Linked DNA regions of Oryctolagus cuniculus. The protein of the gene in region 2 binds, or shares a complex with, the protein of the main gene of each other region. Links are inferred from orthologs where the notes say so. Each region holds a gene or a part of one and is shown on either strand. Other genes may lie near its edges. The genes, in order: ECSIT, NDUFAF1, TMEM186, TMEM126B and ACAD9.

Evidence for each region.
Region 1: NDUFAF1 (region 2) and ECSIT share a complex: the UniProt entries of both Homo sapiens proteins name them as parts of the mitochondrial complex. The link is inferred for Oryctolagus cuniculus from reciprocal best matches to the Homo sapiens genes NDUFAF1 and ECSIT.
Region 3: NDUFAF1 (region 2) and TMEM186 share a complex: the UniProt entries of both Homo sapiens proteins name them as parts of the mitochondrial complex. The link is inferred for Oryctolagus cuniculus from reciprocal best matches to the Homo sapiens genes NDUFAF1 and TMEM186.
Region 4: NDUFAF1 (region 2) and TMEM126B share a complex: the UniProt entries of both Homo sapiens proteins name them as parts of the mitochondrial complex. The link is inferred for Oryctolagus cuniculus from reciprocal best matches to the Homo sapiens genes NDUFAF1 and TMEM126B.
Region 5: NDUFAF1 (region 2) and ACAD9 share a complex: the UniProt entries of both Homo sapiens proteins name them as parts of the mitochondrial complex. The link is inferred for Oryctolagus cuniculus from reciprocal best matches to the Homo sapiens genes NDUFAF1 and ACAD9.

What each region holds. Positions count from the first base shown.
Region 1 is NC_091447.1:66,367,600-66,371,449, reverse strand, and holds part of ECSIT (evolutionarily conserved signaling intermediate in Toll pathway, mitochondrial), read right to left. Parts: intron 1,685-3,850; 5' UTR 1,665-1,684; coding exon 1,569-1,664; intron 913-1,568; coding exon 495-912; intron 197-494; coding exon 1-196.
Region 2 is NC_091443.1:64,520,540-64,524,818, forward strand, and holds the start of NDUFAF1 (complex I intermediate-associated protein 30, mitochondrial), read right to left. Parts: upstream 2,972-4,279; 5' UTR 2,886-2,971; intron 574-2,885; exon of another isoform or gene 511-573; intron 1-510. Other genes in the region: RNA polymerase-associated protein RTF1 homolog, read left to right, coding at 3,089-3,286. UniProt on the Homo sapiens protein: As part of the MCIA complex, involved in the assembly of the mitochondrial complex I.
Region 3 is NC_091450.1:27,396,017-27,400,245, reverse strand, and holds TMEM186 (transmembrane protein 186), read right to left. Parts: upstream 2,972-4,229; 5' UTR 2,850-2,971; coding exon 2,847-2,849; intron 2,238-2,846; coding exon 1,599-2,237; 3' UTR 770-1,598; downstream 1-769. Other genes in the region: PMM2 (phosphomannomutase 2), read left to right, coding at 3,101-3,166. UniProt on the Homo sapiens protein: As part of the MCIA complex, required for efficient assembly of the mitochondrial complex I.
Region 4 is NC_091432.1:76,713,971-76,717,146, reverse strand, and holds the end of TMEM126B (complex I assembly factor TMEM126B, mitochondrial), read right to left. Parts: intron 1,402-3,176; coding exon 1,290-1,401; intron 1,069-1,289; coding exon 885-1,068; 3' UTR 722-884; downstream 1-721. UniProt on the Homo sapiens protein: As part of the MCIA complex, involved in the assembly of the mitochondrial complex I. Participates in constructing the membrane arm of complex I.
Region 5 is NC_091441.1:111,793,874-111,798,430, reverse strand, and holds the start of ACAD9 (complex I assembly factor ACAD9, mitochondrial), read left to right. Parts: upstream 1-1,677; 5' UTR 1,678-1,763; coding exon 1,764-1,913; intron 1,914-4,557. UniProt on the Homo sapiens protein: As part of the MCIA complex, primarily participates in the assembly of the mitochondrial complex I and therefore plays a role in oxidative phosphorylation.

The DNA.
Region 1 (3,850 bases), on a different chromosome or scaffold from region 2:
TCGGGCTCCATGTGCCGCAAGCCCAGCTTGGCCAGGTCCACGGGGTCGGGGGGCAGGTGGAGGGGCACGGGGAAGGGGTTGACGTTCTTGAAGCGGGTGAGCCACAGCTTCATGCGCACCAGCTTCAGCATGGGGTAGCTCCTACGCCCGAAAATCTGCGTGAGCAGGAACTCCGTCTGCGTGTCGGGCATCACCCCTGCGCCGGGGAAGGGAGGGAGCTGTGGGGTCCGCGCGCAGACCCCGGGCAGGGAGAGAGCTGTGGGGTCCGCGCGCAGACCCCGGGCAGGGAGCCGGGGCTGGGGCAGGGAGGGAGCTGTGGGGTCCGCGCGCAGACCCCGGGCAGGGAGCGAGCTGTGGGGTCCGCGGGCAGTCCCCGGGCAGGGAGCGAGCTGTGGGGTCCGCGCGCAGACCCCGGGCAGGGAGCGAGCTGTGGGGTCCGCGCGCAGACCCCGGGCAGGGAACCTGGCCCCGGGAGGCAGGGGCGGCCGCCTCACCGTGCTGCTCCATCTGCTCCAGCACGGCGACGCCGCACTCCTGCTGCCGCGGGTAGTGTACGAACATGCGCTGGAAGACGTTGCGCGGCCGGAAGACCTCCTTGGGGAAGACGTCCAGCAGCAGGTTGTAGACGGCCAGGTCCCGCTGCACGCCGAACTCCCGCATCTTGCGCAGCGCCAGGTAGATGAAGTCCACGTGGCCGCGCCTGCGCACGTCCTGCTGCCCGAAGCACTGCACCGCCCGCACGAAGCTGGCCTTGTCGCGCTCCCCGCCCGGCGCCTGCTTGAACAGCTCCTCGTGGGGCTCCAGGACCTTGACGGGCCTGCGTTGGGACTCGGGTGGGCTGGGGACCAGCGACAGGTCGGAGCTGCAGGCCGCCGCGCTGCGGTGGAGGCCCCGCAGGGCCAGGGCCGCGACCTGGGGAAGGGACGCGGGTTGGAGCCTGGCAGGCCTGCTTCCGCAGGGGAGTTGGTGGCAGGCATATCCCGGAAGGCCGGTGCTGTGGTTAGCAACCCAAGGGGGCTGGCGTGGGGCTGGGGGAGGGCAATGCCGGGGCGGCCATCTGGAGATAAGCGCACACGCGTCCCTGACAGCTGTAAGCACATCTGGGCCACGCAGCTCTGCTACAAAGGGGTCCACTGCAGTGGGCTCCCACCACGGACATCTTCCAAAGGCAAGGAAGGGGCGGCGCTGGGGCCGCGGACCTGGCCGGGGGCTGTGTGCACACCCCGGAGAGCTCGGGGCGCCTGTGTTTGCCTGTAAGCAGCCCGGGGCGGTCAGCCAGAGCGACGCTGGGATCCAAGAACTCCATCAGGTACCTCCCGGGCTGCCCCTTCGTAGGAAGCTGGACCCACACCGGGCCCTCAGTATGAGATACGCTGCCCGCGTCCCCCGTTGGAGCCTGGGTTCCAGATGCAGCTCTGCGTGAGGCCAGCGCCCTGCGCATGCGCACTCTGGGAGGCAGCAGGGATGACGGCCCAAGTACCCGGGTGCCCGCCACCCCCGCGGGAGATGCAGACCAGCCGAGCCAGGCCTTGCTCCTTCCGCTCCCCAGACGCCCGGCTGGTGGTTACCTGTGAGAAGGGGGCTCCCCTGAGGGCGGCCCCGCACAGGCCTCCCCAGCCCCTGGAGAGGCCTCGGGCCAGCAGGGCGGCTTGGGCCCAGCTCATGCCTCTGCTCCTAACAGGACCTGGTCGAGAAACAAGAGACAGCATCAGCCTGGTGGGCAGACGGGACCCTGCGTGCGAGGGCTCGTCCCAGGCCCTGTGGCCAAACCCGGGTCCCCTCACCACTTCCTCCAGCCCCAAGGATTGCTCACCCACAAGGCAGACGAAGGCGACCTTGCAATCCATGGCGGGGTGGGGGGGGGGGGGTGGGGTGGGGGGGCTGCTGGGCCAAACCCTTCAATAACTTCAGGAACTTGCTCCCTCTCCCTATGTCATTCTTCTTTTTAAAGATTTATTTATTTACTTATTTGAAAGGCAGAGTTAGGGAGAGAGGTCTTCCATCAGCTGGTTCACTCCCCTAATAGAAGCAACGACCAGAGCTGGGCCGATCCGGAGCCAGGAGCCAGGAGCTTCCGCCGGGTCTCCCACGCAGGTGCAGGGGCCCAAGCACTTGCCCCATCTTCCACTGCTTTCCCAGGCCACAGCAGAGAGCTGGATCGGAAGTGGAGCAGCTGGGACCTGAACCAGCACCCAGATGGGAGGCTGGTGCTGCAGACCACGGCTTAGCCTGCCGTGCCACAGTGCCGGCCCCTTTTTAAAAGTTTTATTCATATACTATATAGCTCACCCTTTAAAGAACAAATAAAATTGTGGGGCTTTTTTCTTTTTTAAGATTTTATTTACTCATTTGCGAGGTAGAGCTACAGACAGTGAGTGGAGAGGCAGAGAGAGAGAGAGGTCTTCTGTCCGTTGGTTCACTCCGAAATGGCTGCAATGACTGGAGCTGTGCTGATCCGAAGCCAGGAGCCAGGTGCTTCTTCCTGGTTTCCCTCGCAGGTGCAGGGGCCCAAGCACTTGGTCCATCCTCCACTGCCTTCCTGGGCCACAGCAGAGAGCTGGACCAGAAGAGGAGCAGCTGGGACTCAAACTAGTGCCCACATAGGATGCCGGCGCCGCAGGCGGAGGATTCATCTACTGAGCCACGTGTGGTCGGTGTTATACAACCAACAAAGATCTTTGTGATTTTTTAAAAAGTGTTTATTTGAAAGGAAGATTTAAACAAATGATTATTTGACAGGAAGAGCAAGAGAGAGACAGCGGGAGCTATCTTCCATCCACGGGCTGACTTCAAATACCTGCAACGACCAGGGCCAGGCCAGGCTAAAACTGAAGCCAGGAAGCCATATCCCAGCTGGTGGCGGGGCCCCAGCTATGCAGGCCGCCTTCTGCTGTCTTCCCAGGCGTGTTCACAAGCCGGGTCGCGAGAGGAACAGGCAGGACTCGAACCGGCGCCCCTGGAAGGGATGCTGGTGTCGCAGGGGCCTCTGAACCACGGCCACGGTGCCCTTGTGCCTCTGAACTGCTCGAGGGATGCCATCGCTTGGTGACCGCGTTTCCCTTACCCCTCCTCACTTGGCAGGCAGTGGGGGTACCGCTGGCACGTCCGTGGACGTCCGTGTGTGAGCTTCGGTGCGAACACGAGACCCTGCTTTTCCCGAGACGGACGGGAGGACACAGGCTCCCTGAACCGCTACCGTCTGTGGAACGGCAGGACTCCGGCCTGGCTGTGACACGCGCCCAGAATCCTCCCAGGAGGCGCACGGGCTCCGCTTCCCCGCGTCCTCCTCACTGCTCGGCCGGACGCGGCTCCTCGTGTTCTGGATTTGTATTTTCCCAATGAATGGACTGGGCGTCCTTCCATGCACTCACTGACCGGTGTGAAGGAGAAATGTCTACTTCAGTCCTTGTCCATTTAAAAAACTGGGATAGTTATCTTTTTTAAGAGTTCTTTTAGGTCTGGTGTTGTGGCATAGCGGGTTAAGCCGCCGCTTGCAATGCTGGCATCCCATATGGGCACTGGTTCGAATCCTGGCTGCTCCGCTTCCAATCCAGCTCCCTGCTAATGCGCCTGGGAAAGCAGCAGAAGATGGCCTGAGTGCTTGGGCCCCTGCACCCACGCGAGACACCTGCAGGAAGCTCCTGGCTCCTGGTTTTGGCCTGGCCCAGTCTTGGCCTTTACTGCCATTTGGGGAGTGAACCAGCAGATGGAAGACCTCTCGGTAACTCTGCCTTTTGAATAAATAAATACATGTTTAAAAAAAAAAAAAAAACACAAGAATTCTTTTATATTCTGGGTACCAAGCCCTTGTGACTCACAACTAGTTTCTCCATTCTGTGGGTTGCCTTTT
Region 2 (4,279 bases):
TTGTCCCTGCCATTGGTGGGAGACCAGATTGAGTTATGTGCTTTTTCCTTAGGCCTGGCCCGGCCTCAGCTGTTGTGGGTATTTGGGGAGTGAACTAGCAAATGGCAAATCTCTTTTCTATGCCTTTTGGGGGGAGGGAGGGACACTGCACACACAAAAAAATCAGAATCAGAGATTTCACTAAAATAACATAACTTTTGGAGACACCACCGTGGCATAGTGGGTAAAGCTAGCACTGGCATCCCATATGGACACCAGTTCAAGTCCTGGCTGCTCCACTTCTGATCTAGCTCCCTGCTGATGCACCTAGGAAAGCAGTGGAAGACGACCTAAGTGTTTGGGCCCCTGCACTCACATGGGAAACCCAGATGAAGCTCTTGACTCAGCCCTGGCTGTTGTGGCCATTTGGAGAGCGAACCAGTGCATGGAAGACCTTCCCATCCTCCCTGCCCCCACCTTACTGCCCCATAACTCTTAAATAAATAAAAATCTTTAAAAAAAGAAACATACCTTTCTTAATTCCAGTCCAGGGTCGTTATGACTTTCTTTGATGTAACACATTTAAAGAGGGTCATCACAAAAGCGCTCCAGCTTCAGGGTGGCTAGAAATAGGAGGGCTGGCCTGGTCATCTTGGGTCATCTTGGCTCAGTTCCAATATGTTGGGCTAGAGCAGTCTAGGTGTTGGAAAGCTATTCTGGAGTACACAGTTAGCTGGCCTTTATTTAGGTTTTTTTTTTCTACCATAATCTTGATGATCACCCCTTTTCAAGTAAATAGCAGCAAACTGGACATCCGGGTTAAGTGTTTAGTCCCAGGGATTTTTTCTATATTGACTTTTTTGCTCTGTACAATGTCATTTTTTTTTTTTGACAGGCAGAGTTAGACAGTGAGAGAGAGAGAGAGACAGAGTGAAAGGTCTTCCTTCCGTTGGTTCACCCCTCAAATGGCTGCTACCGCCAGCACGCTGAGCCCATCCGAAGCCAGGAGCCAGGCGCTTCCTCCTGGTCTCCCATGTGGGTGCAGGGCCCAAGCACTTGGGCCATCCTCCACTGCACTCCCGGGCCACAGCAGAGAGCTGGACTGGAAGAGGAGGGAGCAACCGGGACTAGAACCCAGGGTGCCGGCACCGCCTATATTGACTTTTTTTTAATTATTATTTTAAAGCATGCACATTTGTGATATGTATTGTAACTTGGCAGAAAAAATAAAATTTATACAGATACTCTTTGACTTATGATGGGGCTAAATTCCCATCATAAATGGAAAATATCCTAGTGGACCAGTGCTACGGCATAGTGGACTAAGCTGCCACCTGTGGTGCTGGCATCCCATATGGGCGCCAGTTCCTGTCCCAGCTGCTCCTCTTCCAATCCAGCTCTCTGCTTATGGCCTGGGAAAGCAGAAGATGGCCCAAGTGCTTGGGTCCCTCACTAGCATGGGAAACCTGGAAGAAGCTTCTGGTTCCTGGATTCAGATCAGCCCAGCTCCAGCCATGCAGCTATTTGGGGAGTAAACCAGCAGATGGAAGACCTTTCTTCTGTCTCTCCCTCTCTAACTCTAGCTCTCAAATAAGTGAATAAATCTTTTTTAAAAATGAAGTAGGTTTAGTACAACTAACCACTGAGCATCACAGCCTAGCAACACAGTAGACCAGAGGATATTAGTTGTTCACCCTCATGATCCTGTGGCTTACCAGGAATAGGGGTTCCCTGCCACTTCCCAGCACCGTGAGAGTACCAAACCACACATCACTGGCCCTGGAAATGATCAAGACTCAAAATCCCAAGTATGGTTTCTACGGAATTGCTTTCTCATCAACATAAAGCAGAAAAATTGTAAGTCAAATTACCCTAAATCAGAGGACCGCCCATCGAGCAAAAGGAGAAAAAGAGAGACATAGTAAGGACTCAACAACTCTAGGGGGATGGGGCCTCATTCCAAGTTCACTACCAGAATAAATGAATTGATGGACTCAAAAAAGAGATCTGAGACCAATTGCAAAATACTATTTCTTATGCTCTCTATATTCCACAGCCCGCAAAGAAATCACTTTTGGAGCAGACTTTATCAGATGATCTCAAACTCAAGTATAGAACCGAACTTATTTCCTACAAACACCAGCCCCTCAAACCTTCTTCTGAGGTATTTTTTTTTTATCTTGATGAATGGCTCTAAATGAGGATCTGAACATCACCCATGTCTGAGGCCTCTCCTTCCTTACTCCTCCCTCAACTAAGGTCCAAAACCTGCAGGGTCTGCCTTCCAAATGACCCAGAATCCATCCTCTCCTCTCCATTCCCACTGCTGTTTCCTTAGTTACAGATACCATAATCTCAGGCTAAGAAGACACCAACAGCCCAATTGGTCTCCTTGCCCATAGTCTCTCTGCCTTCTAACCCATTAGTCACGCTGCAGCCAGTCATCTTTTCAAAACTTATGTCGTTCTTCAGGTTAAATCTCAATACTAAAGTTCACACTCCCTAATATAGCTAAATAGGCTCTGAATGATGTGGCCGCGGCATCCCATCCTTGCCTCATCTCTCTCATCATCCCCACACAGTCTGCTCCAGCTACAATGAACTTCCAGTACCCTGAACCCAACTTTATTATTATTGCTAGGTCTTTGCCCACGATGCTCTCTGCTTGGTACACCCTTCCTCCACTCAGGTACATTCTCCTCTGCCGTCACTTGCACTGCTCAGGTAGGCAGGCTCCATCCCCCAAGCGGTGCCCTCGGCCATAAAGCTGTTTTCCAAGGGGCGGCCCCTTAAGTAGCCCTCCACACTCCATCAGTCTCAGACAGTCGAAAGGCTGCAGACGCATGAGACTCTTCCGAGAGGATTCGGGTCCTTTCGACTTCAGCCAGGACAGCAAAGAAGCCCACCTAGCTTCGGCCCAGCAGCACAGGAACAACCTGTACTTCCCGGACGGCGACAGCATGCAACCGCAACCCTCTGCCCGGAACTCAACCGGTCGCGCGGCCCCGCCTTCCACGCTGCGTAGGGGGCGGGATGGGGCGGGGCGCCGGGCTCTGGCGAACGGCTTGCGCCGGGCGGGGGGCGGGGCCAGGGGCGGAGCGGAGCGCGCATGCGCGGTCGCCTTTGTGTGGGTCGAGCGGCGGCGGCGGCGGCGGCAGTGGCGGTCCCACTGGCAGGCGGGCAAGAGGGGAGTCCGGGCGGCGTCCGGCGTGGGAGCCGGGGGACCACCATGGTAAAGAAGCGGAAAGGCCGTGTCGTGATCGACTCGGACACAGAGGATAGCGGCAGCGACGAGAACCTGGATCAGGTGGGGGCAGGCCGCGAAGGCGCGGGCCGGCAGAGCCGGAGGGCTGAGTCGGGGCCACGGGATCCGGGAGCCGACCGGGCCCGGAGCCTCCTGGCCTGAGCGTCCGGTCTGCTCCGTTCCCTGACCGCGGTGCAGCCCCCTTTCCTGTGTTCCCCGCAGCGTCCGAGGCCCTCAGAGTCCGGCCCAGGCCTGGAGACAGAGCCCCGAGGACTTGGCGCCTTGGGCGGGGAGGCGGGGCAGGGACGGAGATGATGGGCCTCGGGCTCAGGGGTTCCGAAGGGGGCCTCGGGGCTCTGGGGTACCGAAAAGGGGCCTCGATCTTTCGGGGCCGCATCGGGACGACGGGCTATAGGCCAGGCGCTCGGGGCCCGGGAGATAGGAAGTATCTCCCGCCAACCCCGGGTAGGCTGGAAGGTTTTGGAGGAGGTGCAGTGGTGACCGTGGGGCGGTGCGGGGGAGAGGGCCGAGAAGGTGCAGACTCTGAAGATGAAGTTTTTCAGACAACGGGTGTGGGCAGAGGAGGGACACTCGTAAACGTTCCGGGGAGCTTCTGTCGTGCTTGGCAAGGAAGACTTAGTGTGGGCATGAGTCTGAGGGCTAGGGTCGTTTGTGGTTGCAGTGGGTCCCTGCTGGGATGTCAGAGCGAAGAAGACACTCTTGGGAGGAGGGAAGAATCGGAGAACTATGTAGGACGGCGTGGAGGGACTGTGGCCCGGGACTCTTGGCATTTTTCATGCAGCATTCCAGAATTCTTTCTTACTTGGAGATCGTGCAGGGAACATTAAAAGTAACTTTTGGCCTCAGTGTCTTGGGATAGCCTGAACTGTTTCTATACCCTAGAAAGTACTGTAGGAAGCTGTCCTTTGTAGCATTGCTTTGAGAATACCATGAGATACAAAGATAGTTTCTCCCGTGTTTAAGGAGCAAATGGTACAAAGAAAGAATGTACAAGAGATAGTAGGTTTTTAAGTTGAGTAGAGAGAGTACTGAAAT
Region 3 (4,229 bases), on a different chromosome or scaffold from region 2:
CACTTCTGATCTGGCTCCCTGCTAATGCCCCTGGGAAAGCAGCAGAGGACGGCCCAAGTCCTTGGGCCCCTCACCCGGAAGAAGCTCCTGACAGAGCTGGTCATTGTGGCCATTTGGAGTGTGAACCAGTGAGTGGGAGATCTTGTCTCTCCTTCTCTCTGTAACTCTGCCTCTCAAATAAATAATAAATCTTTAAAAAAGGGAAGGGGAGGGGGGAGGCAGGGAGGGGAGAGAACCTCTGGACATTGCAATGGGAATGTAACCCGGCATAGCCACTGTAAAAAGTCTGGCAGGTCCTCCAATGGTTAAACACAGAATTACCAGAGGACCTAGGAGTCCCACATCTTGGGATGCACCCAAAGGTGAAAATAATCCCAACGTCCCCCAGCACATGAACAGAGACAAACGTGGCAGTACACGGAACAATACCGTCCAGCTATAAGGAAGAATTACATGCCACTACACGCTACCCACACGTTGAAAACATCACACCAAGCCAACGAAGCCAGTCACGAAAGGGCACATACTGTGTGATTCCAGGCCATGCCATGTCCAGACAGGCAGATTCTAAGGCAGAAGGGGATTAGTGGCTGCCAACGGGAGAGCGAGTGCTGCTCTGTGGGTACAGAGGCCCTGGGATGGTGAAAAACTTCTGGGGGTGAACTGTGGGGGTGGTTACACCACACTGCAAATGTACTTACTGTCCCTGAACTGTACACTTAACATGGTTACAACGATACATTTGTGATGAGTACATGACAATGAAAACAGAGGTGATACGAAATTTATTGACTTATGCGTGGCAAAATCACGAAGACCTTTACCCTGCTACAAGCTACGTGGCCGACACACACACCGATCACGGGAGGCAACACGCAGAGGTAGAGCACTACACACACCCATCTGGCTCCATGACGCAGCGGGACGGCCTCGGCCTGTGGGTGCGGAACATCTCAGCTGGGGCGTCGCGCCTCACTCGGGGTGCAGTTACCATCCTGGGAGGGTGCAATGCCCCCGCCACGCTTCGTCCCACTCTTCTGCTAAGGGGTGCATGGAGAGGCAGAACACAGGGCTCCCGCGCGCTGCCTGAAAGCCCCGACCACCACCTCTGAGCAGACGCTTCCCAGTCGCCCAGGGCTACGGCCTTGCATGTTTACTGTGTGTTCTGACATCCAGCCCACGAGACAGAAAGAACTTTCCGTTTGACAGACGTGAGAAACCAAGGCTCACACAGACTCCGTCAGCTGCCCAGAACAGCGAGCTGACAGCACCCCAAACCCTGTGCTCCTCCCACATCTGTCTTCCAAATACCCGTGAACTGTCCGGGTGACCGTGGCATAGCTTCCTCCAAGAACTGGATCCGAACAGAACCTCCTGGCCATTATCTGCAAGAACAGCACGCGCAAGTGCAGGAAGAATCCGCACTCGGGCGCCTTCCCGTAAACCTGGGTCCGAATTTCTGTGTTCTTCCGAAAAGACAAACTCCCAGGGTTCTGACAGTCTCTAGGGGCCCGATTCCCTCCTTCGGCCTCGTCTACACCCTCAGCCTTCTTGGTTAGTGACCCAAGGGGCCCAGGGCTTCCCAGAGGCCCAGCTGATCACTTGAGCGAGTCCAGTCTCCCAAACACCTGTGTGAAGCGCTCTCTGTCCAGGACGCGCCCGTAGCGCAGAGGTAGGTAGAAGGTCTGCTTCCCGCTGTACTGCTGGATGCGCACAAACACCTCGTGGGGCCGGTCCCTCGTCTCCGTCAGGGGGACCACGTCCGCCACGGGGCAGTACGTGTCCTGTCGCCAGCCCCAGAAGGTGAGGTGAGCCACCCGCAGCACGGTGCCCGACTCGTTCACATACAGGATGCCTACGAGCCTGCGGAAGAAATGGCTCATCCAGCACAGCATGGCCAGGGCGAAGCCAGCTATGCCACCCACCAGGCACAGCGAGTCGAGCGGCATGAGGCCCTGGGAGTACCAGTAGAAGCCGGGCGGCAGAGCCACCAGCGTCAGGGCCGTCTGCGCCACCTTCAGCCGAGATATGTACCCAAACGCTCTGATGGCATCGAAACGGTAGACCATCTGGAACTTCTCGGTCTCTGTGCCCGGGGCTTTCTCCTCGGAACCGGGAGACCTGCTCCGCACCCACCTCTTGGGATCCTCTCGCCCACCGCAGGACCACAGCCCGCAGAGGGGCTTTCCCCAGGCGGCCGGCCCCCGCCACCTGGGCACAGCTCGGAGGAGGGCAGCCTGGAAGGGAGACAAGAGACCGTTTCCTCTCAGAACTCGGCTTCCACCTGCGTGAGTTCGTTAGGCTTTACCAACGGGCACTCAGAACACACTGAACGAGACAACGGTTTTTACGCCGTAAACGCAGCACCACTGTGCATCAGCACCGGCAGGGGCTTGGTTCCGGGATGCACGACAAGACACCCAAACCAGAGGGCTCACGTCTCTTATGCAAAATGGCACAGTGTTTGTGTGATACCTTATACCACTACTACGATGGAAACGCGGCGTAAAGAGTGGTTATGGGGGATTCCTTTGGGAGTAGCAAGAGCCCGTAGGCGTTCCGCACAGACGCAGCTGTCTCGGCAGCTGAGTGAATCCATGGATGGGGAGCGCACGGATAAGCAGCGCCGACTGCTCGGGGCCCACCCTGAGCACCCCCGCGAGGCTCGCTAGCACCGCTGCTGGCCCACGTGACCCCGCAAGACCACAGCAAGCCGTGGAGGAGCACATCGTAACCCACATCGGGGCAATCGCCCCAGGACCCAACAAACCAGAAGCTCAGGATTCCTGCCTGTTTGCCCCAACACTGGCTCCGACCCCGACGCAGCCCATCACCCTCCTCCTTACCATGGCCCTGCTCCCTGGCGCCGGATACAACCTCACCGCCGCCGGAAACTCTAAGGGCGCATGCTCGGACTACGCGCGTTGCATGCTGGGAGTTGTGGTGTAGCGTCCGTGGCCGACGCTAGCCCCGGGCATTGTGGGAGGCTGTGGGAGTCTCTTCCCGACGTGCTCTGCGGCGAAGAGGGCCGAACCCGGAAGTTCCGGGTCGAGGTCCGGGTGCCAACGAGTCGTCTCAGGTGTGGACGGAAACGGGGGCCATGGCAGCTCCGGGACCAGCGCTTTGCCTCTTCGACGTGGACGGGACCCTGACCGCCCCGCGGCAGGTAGGCGGCGCGCAGAGGGCTGGCGGCAGCCGGCACGGAGCACTTTCTGCTCCTAGACGGGACGAACGACCGTCCAGCTTGGGTGCCTGGGTGCAACTGAGGACCGCCTCCCGCCTCCAGGGGCTGCCCTTGGTCTGGGTGCCCCAGCGGCGGGAGACGGGCCTGAAGCAGCTCGTCAAGATCCCGGGGTGCTCGGAGAGGGAGGGCGGGGTCGGGAAACTTGGGTTAGAACAAGCAGCCCGTTCTCTGGCCGCGAGCCCTGAACCCCAGCCGAGGCCCCCTCAGCAGCTGTGTGACCTTCCCCGTCCCGTCGCGCGTGGCTGGACCTTGGAGCGAGATGCTGAAAGCGCAGGGTTCGGGCCGGCGCTGCGGCTGTTACTAGTTAAACATCCGTGTGCCTGCGGCGCCGGCATCCCATATGGGCGCCGGGTTGAGTCCCACCTGCTCCACTTCGGATCCGGCTCCCTGCTGATGGCCTGGGAAAGCTGCAGTGGACGGGCCCGGTCCTTGGGCCCCTGCACCCATGTGGGAGACCCGGAAGAAGCTCCTGGCTTCGGATCAGCGCAGCCGCGGCCCTTGCGGCCATTTAGGGAGTGAGCCCTTGGGTGGAAGACCCCCTCTCTCTATCTCGACCTCTCTCTGTCTGCAACTCTGCCCTCAAATAGATAAATCTTAAAGAAAGAAAGTGTAGATTTCCTAGTCCAGAGGACCTAGCGGAGCCTCAGCTTGGGCCAGTTAGCCCCAGCCGGAAGCGGGGACAGTGCTTGTTACGTGTCATCCGAATAGGACCAAATGCAAGGTGTCTGCTCGCAGTAGGCCTCCGTAAGCACGGGCCGTCTCCACCCGCCCTGTGCAGCCCCTGCCGGGGTCGGGGTCGGGGTCGGGGGGACGTCCTAGGTCGTCACAGGCAGCCTGGTGAGTCTCTGCACCCTTGGAAGCGTGCCCCCCGCGCTCAGATCTGCCTGCTGCGGGCGCGCGTACGTTTCAGCTACGATCAGCTTCGTGGCGAGGCTCTCCCTTGTACAGACTGGTCGCAGGAACACCAGCCATGGGAGGCAGCAGT
Region 4 (3,176 bases), on a different chromosome or scaffold from region 2:
ATATGGGCGGAGGTTCAAGTCCCAGCTATTCCACTTCCAATCCAGCTTCCTGTTAATGCATCTGGGAAAGTAGCAGAGGATAGCTCAAGTCCTTGAGCTCCTGTAGCCAGGTGGGAGAACCAGAAGCAGCTCCTGGCTCTTAGCTCTGGATCAGCTCAGCTCCAGCTGTTGCAGCCATTTGGGAAGTGAACCATCAGATGGAAGACCATTCTCTGTTTCTACCTCTTTTTGTAACTCTTTCAAATAAATAAAATAGCCAGCTATAGAGTTACTGAATTTTGAGTCCTACTGATGGTTACCTTGGTAGGTCCAGGCCTATTGACTTTACAGGTGTTAAACAGCTCAAGGGCCAGATGTTCTCCAACCCTGGAGAGAAATGGGTTGTATGTTATTTCCATACCTTGCTTTCATATGAACTTCCAATTTCTCCTTCAGAATTTGGCTCAACTGGCACTTTCTCCCCATAACTTCCCTTTTTACTTAAGTGATAGTCACATTCTCAGTGCTCCCACAAATTATGTGTGTAGTTCATAAAACCTTTTATGTGTACCTGTTTATTTTTCTTATAATTGAGAGTTCCTTCTGGGTAAGGAATAGTTCTTATTAATAAGTGACACAGGGCCTGAGGAATTAATTTATAACTACATAGATCAGACCTGAGGCTCCAACTGCTTTGTGCATTTAATGAGGAAAGAAAGATGAAAATTATTATTTCACACTGTTTTACATTTACTGAATTACTGAATATTTATTAAGTATCTGCAATATAGCAGGCGAAACAGAGACAAGTTCTCTGTCCAGAGTGACTTTCAATTTTTTCCACAATATCCAAGTACTCATCATAAAAAAAAAACCATTTTGCTGAATCAGTACCCATTCTTTGATTAATCTTCATGTACCGTTTTTGCAAGTGTTTTTTCAAACAGTGAATAATGCTGTAAACCAATAAGTACTCCAAACATTGTCTGAAAGACTAGAGGAATCACCATTGCTTTTATCTCTGTTTGACAAAGCAGCATCCAATGGAGTAAAACCCTTCCTTTCGGTGGCAGTGGAACTGTATGATATCTGAAAAAGAAAAAGAGTTAATCACGTCTCCTGAATATATCTTCTATCAAGTTTACTGATTTCACCTAAACTGATAATTTCCACTACAGGTCTATAAGGTAGATAGCAAAAAAAAAAAAAAGAAAAAAAATGCAAGAAAGAAAAAAACCCCAAAATTAGTTATTTGGAACACGGAACTAATACATTTTGATAGAAAGAAGAAAAGGAACAAACAGACTTACCTGACTGCCAGGCGTCCATTTTTAGAAAAAGCCAAACTAGAGGGATATAAAATACCACATACTATGCCAACCAGTGAACTTCTAAGGACACAGTTTTCCTTGCTTATGTTACCTGAAAAACAAAAGTAAATTTGGTTTATCTTTAAAAAACTCAGGATAAGAACCTTGAAGATAGTGTGGTGACTCATAGAGAAGTTATGTACAATATTTTCAACCACAGTGAAACAGTACAGAGTATATTAGAAATTCAAAGTCTATGGCATGTAACCAGCTAAATGAATCACATTTTAAAAGTGCTTTTATTGTGCTTCATCATTTGGAGAATTACCCCTTACATTTATGGTTGTTGAAGAAGGATTTTCATAAGAATCTGAGTACTAAACTAGCAGACCAAATCCAAGTTAATACATTTATCGTCTCCTACATGAAAGGCACGTGCTAGGGATACCATGGTGCAAAGACAATCCAATTTCTTACCTCTGGCAGGTCTACCACAGAAGAAAGAATCAGACAGATATTTAAGTGCACACAAGGATTTTACAGTAAAGTGTTTAGAGAATGTATCTAGAAACCTAACTTACACTAAGGGAATCAGGGAAAGTTTCTCTGCAGAAGACATTTAAGCAGGGACCTGAAGAATGAACAGGGGCTAGAGGCTCCAGCAATTACTGTGAAACTTGTGACAGATACTATTTAACACAGATATCATTTAACATAGAATTTTTTTTTATTTTTTATTTTTTGACATGCAGAGTGCACAGTGAGAGAGAGAGAGACAGGGAGAAAGGTCTTCCTTTTTCCGTTGGTTCACCCCGCAATGGCCGCTGCGGCTGGTGTGCTGCCGCCTGCACACCGTGCTGATCCGAAGCCAGGAGCCGGGTGTTTTTCCTGGTCTCCCTTGCAGGTGCAGGGCCCAAGCGCTTGGGCCATCCTCCACTGCACTCCCGGGCCACAGCAGAGAGCTGGACTGGAAGAGGAGCAACCGGGACAGAATCCAGCGCCCCGACCGGGACTAGAACTCGGGGTGCCGGCGCCGCAGGCAGAGGATTAGCCTATTGAGCCGCGGTGCCAGCCAGAATATCTTTTTTTAAAGATTTATTTATTTATTTGAAAGTTGGAGTTAGAGAGAGAGGACAGGCAGAGAGGCAGAGAGAGAGAGAGAGAGAGAGAGAGTCTTCCATCCGCTGGTTCACTCCCCAATTGGTCACAATGGCTGGAGCTGTGCCTATCCAAAGCCAAGAGCCAGGAGCTGCCTCCAGGTCTCCCACGCAGGTGCAAGGGTCCAAGGACTTGAGCCATCTTCTACTGCTTTCCCAGGCCATAGCAGAGAGCTGGATCAGAAGTGGGACAGTGGGACTTGAACCAGCACCCATATGGGATGCCAGCACTGCAGGTGGCAGCTTTACCTGCTATGCCACAGCACCGGCCCCAGTACAGTATCTTTTAATTCTCACAGCAATTCTATGAGATAAGTACAATTAGGGTTAATTCAGAGGTAACACAACTAAGGTTCACAGATTAAATGACTTGCTCGATATCACAAAACTTATGTAGTAGGAAGTAGAATCTGAGGTCATATGTGTTTATTCTTTCTCCAGTAACACTTTTATTTTTTAGTGTCCTTGAACTTGCTTCAGTTTGACTGCCTATCTATAAAAAGGAGACAATACTACTTGCTCTGCTTGATCAGAACTGTCATGTGGATTACATAAAACAGTGTGGGGGCCGACACTGTGGGGAAGCAGGTAAAGCTGCTGCCTGCGGTGCTAGCATCCCATATGGGCACCAGTTTGGGTCCCGGCTGCTCTACTTCCTATCTGGCTCTCTTCTATGGCCGGGGAAAGCAGTGGAGGATGGCCCCAGTCCTTGGACCCTTGCACCCAGGTG
Region 5 (4,557 bases), on a different chromosome or scaffold from region 2:
GACGCCAGTTGGAGCCCTGGCTGCTCCACTTCCGGTCCTTCTCCCTGCTAGTGCTTCTGGGAAAGCAACAGAAGATGGCCCAAGTGCTTGAGCCGCTGCACCCATCTGGGAGACCTGGAGGAAGCTCCTAGCTCCTGACTGGTAGCTTTGGGATCTGCAGGGGAGAAGGCCCACACTTCCAGGAATGGAGAGTCCGTACCCCCACTTCCAGGAATGAAAAGTCCTTGCCAAGGTCCCTGCAGGCACCTAAAGGTCAACCAATGAGGATCAGGCCCGCCTCAACCTTTAACCCCCACACCCTGTACCTGTGTAAGGAGCCCTCCCAACCTCTGACACCTGACTTCCCCGGCCCCGCCCTGTTGGGCTGGGAACCTCGCCCAGGAGTGGAATCCCAATGAAAGCCTGTAAACTGATTGATCTGGCTGGGAAGATTTGTTTCGCGCTGGACACCTTGCACTGGCTTTAGGTTAGCCCAGCCCTGGCCATTGTGGATGGAACCAGCAGATGGAAGATATCTTTCTCTTCCTCTCTGCTTGTTTCTCCTTCTCTGTTAACTCTTTCAAATAAATAAAGCTTATTTTAAAAAAATATGGTCAGAGATCTTATAGATGGTTTTGGGATTGAGAAGTGTTTTTCATTCTTGTGCTGATCTTTGCCCTTCTTTGATTGACCAGCAATATCAGGTTCTTTCGGGAATTTTGATGATGGCAAAATACGCTCCAGTTAGGGGGGCTTGTAGCAGACGGGCCGGTATTTTTTACTCAGGGCTTGGGACTCCCAAAAAAACCCTTGAAGACCAAGATCTTGGTCTTGAAGACCAAGATCCAGCAAGATGTCAGCTGGAAAAGAGGTCAATGAACTCACAAATCTTGTGATGTGGGACCCTGTGGGGCAGCAAGACTCAATGTCCCATTCCCTCAATTAAGTGAATTTAAGAAGCAGTTGATTTGCAATCACATTGAGGCCGGGGAAGTGAGTTCTAATTTTTATTCCAGGCCCTGGAGAAGCAGTCTAACTACAGGCACATATGCAGCGCACAAAGTGGCAAACAAAGCTTTAAAAGGGAGAATGCAAACACGCACGCGGGTGGGCAGGGTGAGCAGAAGGGTCCTCGAGGAGAAAAGGGTGGGAGAGGGGAAGTAGAGAGGGTTGGCTTCAGACCCTGCTCCCGGCCCGCTCTGCACGGAGAGACGGCTCGGTTCTGGGGTCCTGGGCTGACTGTCCTGGGTCAGCAGAACAAGTAACCCTTAGGGCTACGGGAGAAGTCGGAGTGTGGGAGACTAAAGCGTGGTAGCAGGCAGCATCGACAGCCAGGCACGGCAGAGGGGCTCAGCGTCACATCCCCGTGAGCTACAAAGGAAGACAAAAGGGTCCCGGCGATTCCACCCTCCACTTAAAAGCAAGAAGCATGCCCCATGCTGTGAGCTCCCTGCAGAGGTAACCAACACCGTGCATTGCTTTGCATTGCCTCATTGACGGGGGCAAATGGGAGCACTTAGATTCCCGTTCGCCTGGGAAGCATAGTCCTAGGGCCTGCACTTTTGCAAACGACCGGCAGCCACCGTAAGCCTGAGCCTGAACCCAACAAAACTGCACGGACCCCGCCTAGCCACCCTCGCTCTCCAGGGGCGGCTGGCGGCGCAAGCGCAGTGGGTGCGGCGGCGCCGGCCAATGGCGTCATCAGGAGGCGCGGCCCGGGTGCCCTTGGCTGAGGCGCGGCGCTCGAGCCTGCACTTTCAGCGCCCGGAGCGGACGCCGGCAGCATGAGCGGCTGCGGGCTAATCCTGCGCACGGCGGCGGCCGCGCGAGTCTGTCGGGCTCTGGTGGCCTTCACGGAGAGCCGGCGCCCGCTGCGCACCAGCCCGCGGAGCGCGACTTTCGCCAAGGAGCTCTTCCTGGGCAAGATCGAGAAGGTAAGGCGAGCCCCGGGCCGACCGCTGCTCGCCGGTCACGGCAGGGCCGGAGCCCGCAAACGTGCCCGGCCAGATGTTCCCGAGGGGCGGTCCGTGCCGCAACCCCGGGATCCGAACCCGCCGGAGCCTTCCCAGGGGCCGGGGCCGGGTCCCCGGGCGGAGTGGCTTTGACAAGTCCCCGCGAGTTCTTCCAGGGAGTCTTGGGAGAGCCCTGGGGAGAGGTCGCCGAGCCACGCTCACCCGGGCTTTGCCGGCCCCCAAATGTGCGGGTTTTGCTTGTGGTACCTGAATCCCGCTCTGCCCAGGGCGCTCCTGGCACCTGTGGGGCCCCCCGGGGTTTCCCTCTGCGGCTGAGCCCTAGCCCCTCGCCCTGCCATTCAAGTTCTTCCTGAATCTGGCTCCGAGGTGCCCTCCGCCCCCTCCCTTCCGAGGATTGCACCACGCCCACAGCAACAATGTGGCTGCTGAACACCATCCTCTTTTGAAGACTGAGATTTGATCTTATCTCTGTGACTTTGAGCCTTGTCTCATTCGGCCTTAAAATGGAGCTGGTGGGTGTGTGTACCTCACAGATGTGTTGTAGAGCCCCTGTAGGGTTGATAGTGCATGGAAATTCTTCAGCTACAAGGGGCTCATTCATTCATTCATTCATTGATGCGTCTGCTGGTTCACTCCCCAAAATGCCTGTAATGGCCAAAGCTCATTCTCGGTCTCCCACATGGGTGACAGGAACCCAGTTGTTGGAGTTGTCACTGCTGCCTCCCAGATCTGTATCTGACCACCTTTAGGCTCAAGCACAGCTCCTCCTCTGGGTCAGGCCTCCCTCAGCATTTCTGGGTCTTTAGTAGGAACAGGGCAGCGACTATTAGCCTTTTAGAATAGAAAGAGAACCCCAGGTTATTGAGGCTGGTGAGCATCATTCTGCCCTTAGTTGGGGCAAAATTATAGGAAGGAGTGCCCCAGGGGCTCCTGCAGGGTTGAACGGGAGGCTGAGTCAGTGAGATTTGGGCCTCTCTTCTTATGAGCAGCCTCAATCAAGTTGCCTGGCTTTGATCTGTCTTACGTGACTTCTGCCCTAGATTTATGGGAATAACAGGTCTCCCTGCTTTACAAGTTTGAAAACTGTCCATTGCAACTGAGTTCCCCTCCCGTGAGGCACACCTGTCAGTTTTTGACCATTGTTGTCCAAGAACTCTTTCTCCCTGGCACCCGGGGCATCTCCCTGTAGCAGTTACCCTTTGGTTGTGGTCCAAGGCCACCAAGTTACCAGGCTGTCTCTATTCTGTCACGTGGCCTGCCCACCGATGTCAGTGATCATCCCCCTATCTCCTCCCATAGCCATTGCCCAGCTGACCAACAAGGCTAGGGAAGGGAGTGTGAGGGGGCAGTCGCCTCTGTTGGGCAGAGACAGCTTTGTCTCCAGAGGCTTGAGAGTGGTGACAGGTGTACCTGCCTTTCCTTCCAGACCCCCTTAGTAGAGGGTTGTGACAGAGAGGCAGGACACCGCTAAGTCTGCTGTCGCTTTTGGATAGGGTAGCCCCAATAAGCCTGCAGTCCTGGGGCCAGAGAGCTGAGGACAGATTGGGGAGCACGGTGCTGGAGTAGACAAGTCAGGTGGTCAATGAGATGTGCAGAGGCTGGGAACAAGGATGAGGACTTCTGTGACAACCTTCCTGAAGCTCCAGTGCCATGAGGACAGGCAGGGCTCCTGGGGCCTGGCAGCTTATAATAGGCACCCCCAAGTCCACTTCCTGGTGCCATGCTGGCTGCCGAAGGGTTAGTTGGAGTCCCAAGGCCAGAGGGGCTTTTGATACTGTGGAATGCTCTCCAGGGCCAGCAGGAGGGAATCCTGGGCTAGTCAGGGATTGGAAAGAGACTGGCAGCTAAGTCACTTTCCAGGTCACCAGGTGGGACAACAGTGGAGCCAGAAGCTGAGAACACTTACTTTATGTCCTGGGGCACGTGACCACAGTCACCTTCTGAGATAAAGAGAATCATCTGTGGGAGAGAACCGGACGGAGAGGGATGATGCAAGCTGCCCAGTCACCTGCGAGGAGTGGCTGTGCCAGGGTGAAGTTCAGGGCGATGTGGATCCACAGCTGGGCTTTGCTCTCTGATCCCACAGCACAGGGAGTGGCTGCAGCGACTGAGGGCCAGAGGCTCCGTGGTCAGATCTGGCAGCCACGCCGTGCTCCTGTCAGCAGCACCATTTTTAACTCAAAGTAACTGATGTAGGATTCTCTCCATTTTAGAAAAGACCTTTCTCATTCCGCCTTCCAGGATTCTCACAAGGAACTTGAGTCAACAGGAGCTTGGTGAGGTGAAGGGAGGTGGCTGCGGCCGCAGTTGGCAAGTGGCAAATCCAGGACCAGACTCAAGTCCTGGACTTCCTGTTCTATGGGACAGTCCTCATCACTTGTTATGGATAAGGAAAGTGGTGTGTGGGGAGGAAGATGGCCCTGGGACAGCCTGCATCTTAAGCGCTTGGTGTAGTCTTTATAACTGCAGTGAGTTGTGTCCTGCTGGCCAGATGAGGAATCTAGGATGCCCTTTTCTTTCCCCTTTCACCAATATTACTGCAGTAGGGGCTGCTAGGTATTAAATTTTCAGAGACTGGTGTTGTGGCACAGTGGGTTAGGCTGCC